Neurospora crassa OR74A: one gene and its partners. The protein of the gene in region 3 interacts with the protein of the main gene of each other region in a pairwise test. Links are inferred from orthologs where the notes say so. Each region holds a gene or a part of one and is shown on either strand. Other genes may lie near its edges. The genes, in order: NCU10776, NCU07482 and pcn.

Region 1 (3,824 bases), on a different chromosome or scaffold from region 3:
TGCGAATTCGACAACAAGAAGAAGGGAGACACGTCCAAGGTCGTTGGCGTCAGCCAGGAGAACGACGAAGTTGATCCCGCTCTCCGCCGTGTTCTTCCCCGTGTGTACGTCGATGGACCGTTCGGCTCCGCCTCCGAAGACGTGTTCAAGTACGAGGTGTCCGTCCTGGTCGGCGCCGGTATCGGCGTGACCCCCTTCGCCTCCATCCTCAAGTCGATCTGGTATCGCATGAACTACCCGCAACAAAAGACGCGGCTGAGCAAGGTGTACTTCTTCTGGGTCTGCAGAGATTTCGGCTCGTTCGAGTGGTTCCGCTCTCTGTTGTTGGCTATCGAGGCCCAAGATGTCGACCACCGCATCGAGATCCACACGTACCTGACGGCCAAGATCAAGATTGACGATGCGACCAACATCATGATCAATGATGCCAACGCCGATAAGGATACCATTACTGGCTTGAGGTCGCCGACGAACTTTGGCCGTCCGAACTGGGATATGATCTTTAGGGGTATCAGGAAATTGCATGCTCCGGGCGAGGCTGGCGTGTTCTTCTGCGGTCCCAAGGGACTGGGCAGCTCGCTGCACATCTTTTGCAACAAGTATAGTGAGCCTGGGTAAGTTCATGGTTCTTTTGTGGTGGACTTGCAACGGAAAGACCGCTAACATCTTGCATTAGTTTCCACTTTGTTTGGGGCAAGGAGAACTTCTAAGACTTCACCCTGGTTTCTGTCCCCCTTACCCTGTTCACTCAATAACCTCAGTATGAGGCACGATCTACTAAATCATTTCTGCCTTTTATGCCATAGTATATGAGCATGTTTGGACGGCGATGACTGCGAAATTTGCTCGTTACCTGTTTCACCTCTTTATGTGCCAGTTATACCAATTATTGTTTCCAGGTAATGGAGAAGCTCGAGGTATTTAGGAAATTTGTTCAAGACGTTATGTTGTCAAGAAACCATAAGATATTTGTGTTCCTTTGCAATCAAATTGAAATCGCATCAGAAAGTGTCCTCCTTGGAAGAAACACAAGCATGAAGAAGAAGACACAACTTGATCTTTCAACCCCTTGGCTTCGAGTAAACGTCCAACCCTAACCCGTAGTTGTCCGAGCATCACTCCAATATGAGAGCACACACACGCAGGGATTCTAAGTGCCCCACATTTACCATCGCGAAAGAGGTGCGTCTCCAGGCAGGCAATCCGGTCTTCAGCAGCTTCAGCGCGTCAATTCCACTGGACGGACGCGGAAAGCCTCCTCTCGTTTCCCGTCACAAAGTGACATCACCTACCTTCAAGAGACCAAGATACCTCCGTCCCGTCTGCAACAACAACCTACTGTACTTTGACTTTCTCCAATTTCTGCACGGAATCCGCCCGACTTACCACCTTGTCCCAATCTCGAACCCGGAATCGCATGAATAACAATCGCAAAGATGGGTATTAAACAGCTTTTTTCGGTCATCAAAGATGAAGCGCCTGACGCCATCAAGGAGGGTGAGATCAAGAATCAGTTCGGTCGCAAGGTTGCCATTGTGAGTTTTATGTCATTTTAATCAATGCACTCTTTCTCTTCAAAATATGCTAACATTTCACCTTCCTTTCACAGGATGCGTACGACTCCCCCGCCCGACCCCAACCCCGACCTCGATCATGAAGGAGAAAAAAAAAAAAAAACGTAACCTACCGTACCATAATCGCTGACATCATAACCTCCTCCCTAAACGTTATACAGCTCCATGAGCATCTACAGCTTCCTAATCGCCGTCCGCTCCGATGGCCAACAACTAATGAACGAGGCCGGCGAAACCACGTCGCATCTAATGGGCATGTTCTACCGCACCCTACGAATGGTCGACAACGGCATCAAGCCGCTTTATGTATTCGACGGCGCGCCGCCCAAACTCAAGTCCGGGGAGCTAGCCAAGCGGTTCCAGCGCAAGCAGGAAGCCACCGAAGGGCTGGAGGAGGCCAAAGAAACCGGCACGGCCGAGGACGTGGAGAAGTTCAGTCGGAGAACGGTCCGCGTCACACGCGAGCATAATGCCGAGTGCCAGAAGTTGTTGAAGTTGATGGGCATCCCCTACATTGTGGCGCCCACCGAGGCGGAGGCGCAATGCGCAGTGCTGGCGCGGGCGGGCAAGGTGTATGCGGCTGCCAGCGAGGATATGGATACGCTGTGCTTCAACGCGCCGATTTTGCTTAGGCATTTGACGTTTAGCGAGCAGAGGAAGGAGCCGATTCAGGAAATCCATTTGGAGAAGGTGTTGGAGGGGTTGGGTATGGAGAGGAAGCAAGTATGTTTTCCCCCCCTGCCTTTTGTTTCTTCGGGCTATCAAAAAAATACTGCGATATGCTGACAGCACCCTCTTTTACAGTTCATCGACCTCTGCATTCTCCTTGGCTGCGACTACCTCGACCCCATCCCCAAAGTCGGACCCAGCACAGCGCTCAAGCTGATCCGCGAGCACGGCACACTGGAGAAGGTGGTGGAATGGATGAAGGCGGACCCCAAGGGCCGCTACCAAATCCCAGAGGACTGGCCGTTTGAGGACGCGCGCACGCTCTTCTTCGAGCCGGACGTGCGGCCCGCCGACGACCCGCTGTGCGACTTTAAGTGGGATAAGCCCGACATCGAGGGGCTCATCCAGTTCCTGGTTCATGAGAAGGGGTTTTCGGAGGACCGTGTCCGCAGCGCGGGCACAAAGCTGGAGAAGAACATGAAGACTTCACAACAGGCGAGAATCGAGGGTTTCTTCAAGATACTGCCCAAGACGGAGGAGGAGAAGAAGGCGCATAAGCGCAAACTGGAGGAGCAGGCGGAGCAGAAGAGGAAGAAGGTCAAGGAGGAGAAAAAGGAAAAGGCGAAGCTTAAGGCGAAGCCTCGTGGTGCTTAGGGCGGGAATGTCATTACGTGGCCCGATTACTTACCGCGTTCTGATGGGTACTGGCGTTTCAGGTATTCAGGAGTTTATGGGAGTTTTACAAAGGCGGAAGGGAAAAGGGTACGGAGATGTGTGTATTATTTAGCACGTCGAGGAATCCGTGGAACCCAAGGTTACGGGAATGTGTACCTACTTGTTTTTTTTGCGTTTGCCATGCGAACGATTGAGTCCTCACAGATTTACCGCCATCTAGCTATATATTGATTGATGATCATGGGATACGGATGGGATCATACAGACCGCTACCATGGAGCAACTGCTGCAATAAGAAAGTTATGTTAATGTATCTCCAACTCCACAATTAGTCGGCCCCATGGAGTTCGCTATGACAAGGTCCATGATAGTACACGTACAGTACGTGCATTTAGCATCGGCTCGGTCTTTGTGCAGTGCACTACACTACAGGCTGTGGCCGCGGCACGCACCGCGGCACGCACCGTGGCAGCACCACACTTGCCTCGGCTCATTGTTGGGTGGTAATCCCAGCCGTTCCAATTGGTCCCGCTGGAACAAATGACATCAGCCTAACGTGGACTCGGTGGAGACCGAAACAGAGACATTCAACGAGACTCGCTGCAAATGGGAACTGGAAGTGATTTGGGAGGGTGTCACATGTTCCCGTATTTCATTCCATTTCGAGAACGACCAGCCTCGCCGTCGTCATTGTCCTCTGGATAAGCACCGGAGGTTTGGAGCAAAGCCGCCCAAAGACAGTTGAAAGTTTGAATATCAAACTGTGAGGTTTCATGTCAACGAAGGCGGAGGTGGGTCGGATTGCATAGCGCAGGGGTCTTCCCCACGGGCAGGAGACGGGCAGTCGAGGACGGACAGTGCCAACGAACTGTTGGAAGTCGAGGATGAACTTAAGATACAACGAAC
Region 2 (4,134 bases), about 9.0 Mb from region 3:
GTAATCGCGTGATTGTTAGTCAAACTCAAAATCTGTCATCCGCATCATCCTGGCGACTACTGCTCAGACAAGGTTTGTCGACCCAAGTCCAGAACTGCAAGCCATGTGTGTAGGCTTTCTCCAAGCATTGCTGGAAACGGCTTTATTCCAAGTCTCAACTCACCACAACTGGTGGACAAGATCTCGGAGATCCCGATTTGATCATGTTCATTCATCCCAAGGGATCGATGCAAAGTGATACCCGCTCCTGGTACAACTTGGTCGTCCCTCCTTTACCTAGCTGAGATGACGTGCGTTGTGTACGAGCTTGTGGTACAACGCTGAGTTGCCTGGAAGTGGAAGGTAAGTAGAGGTTATGGCGAGGGGCAATGACTGCCATTATGGGCTTTTGGATTTTCTCTTGGAGATGTTTGGGTTGATGATACATATTATAGCGTGTTGAAATGTGTGCATTTGCTTGATTTGTTGCCCCTTTCTTTCCGTCTCTCTTTCGTAGTTTTTGCTCCTGTTTCTTCTTAATTCTGTTCCTATCAACGCAATTGTACCCAAGAAAATGCAAACAAGGCGCGATCTTGGACAGACAATGCCGATGAACCGATCTGTTTAACAACACCAAGAGCTTTCAGTTCACTCGACATGAAGATGTTCCCCAGAATCGCATAACTAAGACTTATAGTGATACCGGCATGTCCACTTTTTAGAAGGACTTCGCCAGCGCCTCATCTGGCAGTGGGTGCAAGGATCAGAACGGGTACATCTTGTGCGACCCTACCGGAACCTCGGCGAGCTCGGCATCCAGATGAGCGTTGGACGGAAGATGCGACGGGATGATCCAGTCAGGGGCCTCCACCTCTTCCGTAAAACCCGGGGCCGGTCTTGATGTCGTACTTGACTCCGCTGAGGGAATGTTCGGCAGGACAGTCACAACATAAAAACAAGAAGAAAAAGAAAAAAAGAAAGGGAAGAAGAAAAATTGGAGGGAAGAAGAAAAATTGGAGGGAAAAAGAAAGAAAGAAAAAAAAATTGCTCCAATTCTAGCGTTAATTCATATAGTACATGAAATTGAGTTGAAGGCCACTTGCAAAAAGTGACTCCTTAACAAGAGAAGTAACTTCAGACGATGTCACAGGTAAAAAGGAAGATGATGCAGGCCAGCAAGGTCCCCCATCTCCACCCCGCTCAGCCGTTACGGCAACCTCAAGTGCCCGATTTCGGCGGCTCCAGTTGACTCCAGCACTTCCCTTGCGCTAACGGAATCTCTTCGGCGGGGCCCGCGAGGTCCAATGCGGAGCAGCGGGACGGGATCCGCTTTCAACGGCGGCATCGGTGGGGCCGACTAGACGCAGACTAGAGTCTTAATTGAATGAACAATGACGCCAAAAGTCGCGTCGTTGTTCGTTGGAGAAGAGAGAACCTTGCAGGGCCGGAGAGTGAAGACGCGCTTTTGCTTTTTTAGCGTTGTTTCGTCATTCACTTCCATTGGGCGAACCGAGGTGGTTGATAACATTCTGTTTGGAAAAGCAAACAGAGAAAGGAACGTTGCTTTTCTTCCCCAGCTATTTCCCACTGAAGAGTGAATTTGAAAGACATTTTCCACTCGAGAAAATCCCAGATTGGAGTCTCGACTTCACTCCACCGTCCCAGACAACGACTCTTTTCACTCGATCAACAAGTTCTCACCCTCAAGATAGTCAACCATCACGGCTTCAAAGAACCTCACGACCTCTCTGGGCTATCTTGAAAGTCGGCGTCTCTCAACTCTTTTCCGTCACCTCAACCTCAACCTCACCCACAAACCACCACCATCACCACCATCTCTCACTCAGAACAATGTCCTCCCTCAAACGCAAAGCCGGCTCCTCCCAGCCTGGCCCCTCCCCCGACGCCAAAAAGCCCAATCAAAACGGCAACATCATGTCTTTTTTCGGGGTTCCCAAGCCCGGCGGCCCTCTCAATTCCTCTTCTCCAACCACTCGATCGACCAGCCGCAGCCAAAGTCAGCTCAGCAACAGCAACAGCAGTACTACTACTACCGCTACTACTACCCCCGACCCCGCCACCGTAACCAAAAAGTTCAACAAGGAGAAATGGGTAGCTTCTCTGACGCCCGAGCAACGCGACCTTTTACAGCTGGAGATCGACACCCTTGATGAGAGCTGGTTGGCGCATCTGAAGGAGGAGATTGTAACCAAGGAGTTTTTCGACTTGAAAAGGTTCTTGAAGAAAGAGTGGGAGACCAAGACGATATTCCCGCCCAAGGAGGATATATATAGCTGGTTTGTCTTTTTTTTCCCCTCTCTTTTTTCCCCTTCTTCCCTTCTTCCCTTCCCCCCCTCCTCCCCTCTCTTTTACCATCCCGTCCATTCAATTTTCATCACTAACACCCACCCAAAACAACACAGGTCCCGCCACACCCCCCTCCCCACCGTCCGCGTCCTCATCCTCGGCCAAGACCCCTACCACAACCACAACCAAGCGCACGGCCTCTCCTTCTCCGTGCGACCTCCGACTCCCGCCCCGCCCTCCCTGCGCAACATCTTCATCGGCCTCGCACGGGACTACCCCTCCTTTACCCCCCCGCCCTCCAAGAGCGGGCTACTAACCCCCTGGGCAACCCGCGGCGTCTTGTTGCTCAACACATGCCTCACAGTTCGCGCGCACGAAGCCAATTCCCACGCGAACCGCGGCTGGGAACGCTTTACCCAGAAAGTTATCGACTTGGTAAATGAGCGACAGAAAAAGGGGGTGGTGTTCATGGCGTGGGGAGCGCCGGCGGGGAAGCGGATGGCCAAGGTGGATGGGAAAAGACATTTGGTGTTGAGGAGTGTCCATCCGAGTCCGTTGAGTGCGCATAGAGGGTTTTTTGATGCGGGGCATTTCAAAAAGGGGAATGAGTGGTTGGAGGGAAGGTATGGGAAGGAAGGAAGGGTGGATTGGAGTTTGGTGGAGGGGAAGTCGATATTTGCTGATGAAGATGGGGAGAAGGGGAAAACAGAGGGGAAGGGTAAGGGGGAGGGGAAAAAGGATGGGAAGGATGGGAAGGGGGAGAAGGAAAAGAAAGAAGAAGAGGAGGAGGAGGATGAGTTTGAAGGTGGAGAGATTTTTGATGAGGAGGGATTAAAGGAGGTTGAGGCTGTTGTGGAAAAGGTCGTGACGGAGGAGGGCGGAAAGGAGGAGTTAAAGACGGATTTGATGGTGAAGAAGAAGAAGAATAAGGGGGAGGAGGGAGGTGATGAGAATGCTATTCCTGTTCCTGAGGAGGAGGAGGAGGAGGAGGAGCAGACGGAGAAGATGGAGGAGGACTGATGTTTGGGTGATTTGATGGGCTAATTGGTTGTACATGTTTGGATCTGCGAGCTGGGTCGCACACAGTTTCTTTACCCAGGGGCATGCGGCCGTTGTGTTACGCTACAAGGAGCCAAGTTTTGATTGGACTTGGGAAAAGGGTACTTGCTGTTTTAGGGTTGGTGTTTGGAGTTATTTGTCAGTATTGCTCTTAGGTCTAGCTCGAGCGAGTTTATATAGAGCATCAGCTAATAGGCATCTCGTCAGGCAACGGAGTATAAAGACGGGTCATGATGTTGAACCATGTACATGTAAATATGATAAGATTTATAGTATGTACCGGCACCTAATTGATGCCCCTGGACGGTTTTATCAGATAACATCCCCTTTCACGCCCGCTGCGACCAGATTTTTTTCCTGCTTCATCACCATGTTCTCCCCCATTTCTTCAATTCCCTCCCCTAACTATGTGTCTTAACGAACGACTTACCCCTTCCAAGCCAACCACCCAAAAACCACCACCACCATCCACGCCACCCTCCAAACCGTCGTCCACAACTCCGTCACCACCACGCCCATGGCGGTCTTGGGCTTTTGCTTCTTCCTACTCTGCCTCGCCCTCCATTTTGAACTCGAACTCGAAGTCGTAAACGCCCCACCATAATAAAGATCCTCCTCATTCTCCCCTGGGATCTCAATCCTCGGCTGATGATAATGATGATGATGTCCATGCTTCCCACCCCACGACCATCCTCCTTTAACTGATTTATTGCTATTACTGTAAACGCTCGATTTCCTGCTTCTCCCACTACTACCTCCACTCTTTTCGTTGTGATGACCATTTCTCAA
Region 3 (3,529 bases):
ACTCTCTATCGACGGGCATCCGCGGTCTCCAAGCCAAGCTGGCACTATTGCGTGAAGAATCCGAGAAAGCACTCAACGAAGCCGACGACATCTCTGAAGTTGGTTTCGACCTCCTGTCGCAATACGAGTCCATTGGCCAAGACCTCAAGATGCTGCAGCAAGCCTGGGAGGATGGCAAGGCTGCCCTAGCATCGGGAATCGACCGCAACGAGAAACGTATTTCGTCTATGAGCATGCTGTACTCGCCTGCTACCTCTCTAAGCGGGTTGACCACTGTCGGCGAAGAGAACGAAACCGGCGGCGGAGCGGAGGATGCGCTGAAAGCGCTCACCGGGGAGACGTCTCCCACACGAAACTCCTCGCCAAGTCCCAACGAGCCGGATGTGTTTGAGGCGGTTGCGCTATCGGCTCGGCCCAGGAGTATGCTGACCAGGGAAGAGAGATTGGTGAAAATGAAAGAGGAGAGAGAGATGAGGGCAATGCAGAGAGAGAAGGCGGAAGCGAGTAGGGGCATGTTGAAGGAGTTGGAGATGGTGATTAATCTGAGGCCGAAGAGACATACAACCATGGGACCAGGCGGGGGAAACGGCAGGAGTGCGGCGCCGACGAGGATTTCTTTATGACGACAGACAAACTCTGCGGCATTCGCGCTGTCTTTCTTTCGGGTTTCTTTTCTTTGACCACTATAATCTTACATGGCATCAAGGCATTGCGCGCAGACAAAAGAGAGGGGCGAACAACAACGACGAGAAGGTCAGCTTGCCAGTTTTCTTGAAAAGCAACAACAGCAACAACAACAACAACTTTGGGTAGAATGGCGTTTTGACGGACATACAGACCATGGGAACATTTGAAAGCTGGGGCAGGCAAGCGAGCAATGTGGGACACAGAATTTAACGGCGTTTACACAGTTTATACAGACGATCTTGGGCGGGCATTCTGTAACAAATTCTTTTTTGAGTTGGGGGAGGGTGTAAGATAGGTGAAATAATGTAATAATCAAAATATATTGGAGAATGGAGGTAGAACAGAGTTCGCGCAGAAATGAGGGAGTCGAATAGTTGAAGTCATATCATCGGAACTTGAAGTGAGCAGCATACCTTTGGTTCGACATTGCCGTCGAGACACGATCCAAACAGAAAGAGGGGATTCAGGGCGACAGCTCCCACTGAAAACGCGAAGATTGCGCCTGAAAGCGGACTAACAGCGCTGGAGAACGGGACCGTGCACCGGGAGCTAGCCTGAAGCGGTAAATCAATTAAGCCTAACCCCGGCTCAGCGCGTTTAGCTGCCATTAGCAGGCGCGTCAAGTCGCGAAGTGGGTGTCCCGGCACCACCTGTGGTATTGGTGGTTCCTCTCTTTTTATCGTCCATTGCCTGCCTGTTGCAGCTTTTTGAACAAAACCATAACTCTTCCCAAATCCAAATCTTTTCTTCTCTCTTCTTTCTTCGTCAAACCACGAGCGCCTCTCTCTCCCGAAAGTGATACCCAGCGCGCGCATATTTTCTTCCCTCTTTGTCTTTTTTTCCCCCGTCGAGTTCGGTAATTCACATCCATCAGTATGTCGTCTCTGTCTGAGCGTGAAGCTGCCTGCTCGCTTGCTCGCTGGCCCGGCACTAGGAAGAAAAGCTGGAGAACTGGAGTGATGGGTTGCTGACTGGAGGACTACCACAACAACAGAAATGCTTGAAGCACGGTTGGAGCAGGCGTCGATCCTGAAGAAGGTATGTCATGTCCTCTTCCTGTCAAGTGCTGTCTGTTTCCTTTCCCAGCTAGAAGACCCCCACTAACTCTGTCATGATGATGACGATGATGTCCAGGTCGTCGACGCCATCAAGGACCTCGTGCAGGACTGCAACTTCGACTGCAACGACTCGGGCATCGCCCTGCAAGCCATGGACAACTCGCACGTCGCGCTCGTGTCCATGATGCTCAAGACGGAGACCTTCTCGCCCTTCCGGTGCGACCGCAACATTGCGCTCGGCGTCAACCTGACGTCGCTGACCAAGGTGCTCCGCGCCGCCCAGAACGAGGACATCCTGACGCTCAAGGCCGAGGACGCGCCCGACGTGCTCAACCTCGTCTTCGAATCTTCCGAAAACGACCGTATCTCCGAGTACGACCTCAAGCTCATGGACATTGACCAGGAGCACCTGGGCATTCCGGATACCGAGTACGCGGCCACCATCAGCATGCCGTCTTCTGAGTTTAAGCGCATCACCACCGACCTCATGGCCATGAGCGAGAGCGTCAACATTGAGGCGAGCAAGGACGGCGTCAAGTTTAGCTGCCAGGGCGACATTGGCAACGGCAGCATTACCCTCCGCCAGCACACCAACGTTGATAAGCCCAGCGAGAATATCGAGATTGAGTTGAGCGAGCCGGTTTCCCTCACGTTCTCGCTCAAGTACCTGGTCAACTTTTGCAAGGCGAGCGCGCTGTCGAGCACGGTCAAGATCTGCCTCTCCAACGAGGTGCCCCTTTTGGTCGAGTACAACATTTCGGCTAGCAGCTACTTGAGGTTCTATCTTGCGCCCAAGGTATGTCTTTGTTTGTCATTTTCTGGGTGGTTGTTTTCTGTCAGGCGTGATGCTAACTGGTTCTGATTCACAGATTGGCGACGAGGAGTAAACGCCCCATTTACCTCCAACAACCGAACCACATCTTTGTTACGAACACCACGAAACTATGCCTTCATGTATACCTCGAGTTGCTATAAAATCATGGGGAGGAGGAGAATTGCAAGTCATGTAGAAGATAAGGGGTGATGCAGTGATGAGAAGAAGAAAAGGGATATGAAGAAAAAGAAATCTGTGTTTTTGAAAGAGTCTGGCACTAGTACACTACACACAAATGTTTTAGAGGGCGTTTTGTTCTTTCTGCTGCGAAGATGAATGTTTAGGGGAGACGACGAGGTGTCAATGATTATTGCGATGGCCTCCAACAACACACCTTCACCAAGGAACCCGATGCTGTTGTCGTTTCCTTTTTTTTTTTTTTTTTTTTTTTTTTTTTTGTCTGATGGTTTCTAACATTGATATCGGCAAACTGTCCTCCCTGTATCACTATGGTAATCATCGCTTCTCGGGAGTTCAGCTTGGCGTTGAAAGTAGGTATCTCAGAAGTGGGTTCAATCACAAGTACACCAGTACTGACATCACCACTTCCCGTCAGTCGGCGTGTTTTCCAGAAATCTTCCACCCGACTGTTTTTTTTTTTTTTTTTTTTTTTTTTTTTTTTTTTTTTTTTTTTTTTTTTTTTTTTCATCCGATGAAGTTCCTGGTGTTCACCAGCTTCCCCACATTGTTCATTCAATGTATGTAACTTACCTACCCACCACCTGCGTGACGTCCCCTCCCGCCTACAACAGCCCAGGGCCCGGGGCGCGCCCAGCAGCTGAATGGACTCCGCATTCAAGTTGCCCCTAACCCGCCCTGCAGGAAACTTTTTGGCGGGGCATGGGTGGTTCCTGGGGAAAAAAAAAAGAGTCATTGACTGGCCGGCCCTGTGCCATGACCGTTAGCGGCG

The links.
Region 1: the proteins of pcn (region 3) and NCU10776 interact in binary tests that used the Saccharomyces cerevisiae proteins (3 or more experiments, as listed by UniProt). The link is inferred for Neurospora crassa OR74A from reciprocal best matches to the Saccharomyces cerevisiae genes POL30 and RAD27.
Region 2: the proteins of pcn (region 3) and NCU07482 interact in binary tests that used the Saccharomyces cerevisiae proteins (3 or more experiments, as listed by UniProt). The link is inferred for Neurospora crassa OR74A from reciprocal best matches to the Saccharomyces cerevisiae genes POL30 and UNG1.

The regions. Positions count from the first base shown.
Region 1 is NC_026507.1:3,045,998-3,049,821, forward strand, and holds NCU10776 (DNA-repair protein rad2), read left to right. Parts: upstream 1-1,245; 5' UTR 1,246-1,436; coding exon 1,437-1,535; intron 1,536-1,609; coding exon 1,610-1,614; intron 1,615-1,735; coding exon 1,736-2,297; intron 2,298-2,378; coding exon 2,379-2,897; 3' UTR 2,898-3,230; downstream 3,231-3,824. Other genes in the region: nox-2 (NADPH oxidase 2), read left to right, coding at 1-614, 677-710. UniProt on the Saccharomyces cerevisiae protein: Structure-specific nuclease with 5'-flap endonuclease and 5'-3' exonuclease activities involved in DNA replication and repair.
Region 2 is NC_026501.1:466,593-470,726, reverse strand, and holds NCU07482 (uracil-DNA glycosylase), read left to right. Parts: upstream 1-1,431; 5' UTR 1,432-1,830; coding exon 1,831-2,276; intron 2,277-2,402; coding exon 2,403-3,306; 3' UTR 3,307-3,586; downstream 3,587-4,134. Other genes in the region: fr (manganese ion homeostasis protein), read right to left, coding at 3,772-4,134. UniProt on the Saccharomyces cerevisiae protein: Excises uracil residues from the DNA which can arise as a result of misincorporation of dUMP residues by DNA polymerase or due to deamination of cytosine. Not involved in strand-directed mismatch repair.
Region 3 is NC_026501.1:9,447,071-9,450,599, forward strand, and holds pcn (proliferating cell nuclear antigen), read left to right. Parts: upstream 1-1,324; 5' UTR 1,325-1,560; intron 1,561-1,681; 5' UTR 1,682-1,683; coding exon 1,684-1,725; intron 1,726-1,821; coding exon 1,822-2,541; intron 2,542-2,614; coding exon 2,615-2,632; 3' UTR 2,633-2,987; downstream 2,988-3,529. Other genes in the region: NCU09240 (hypothetical protein), read left to right, coding at 1-623. UniProt on the Saccharomyces cerevisiae protein: This protein is an auxiliary protein of DNA polymerase delta and is involved in the control of eukaryotic DNA replication by increasing the polymerase's processibility during elongation of the leading strand. Involved in DNA repair.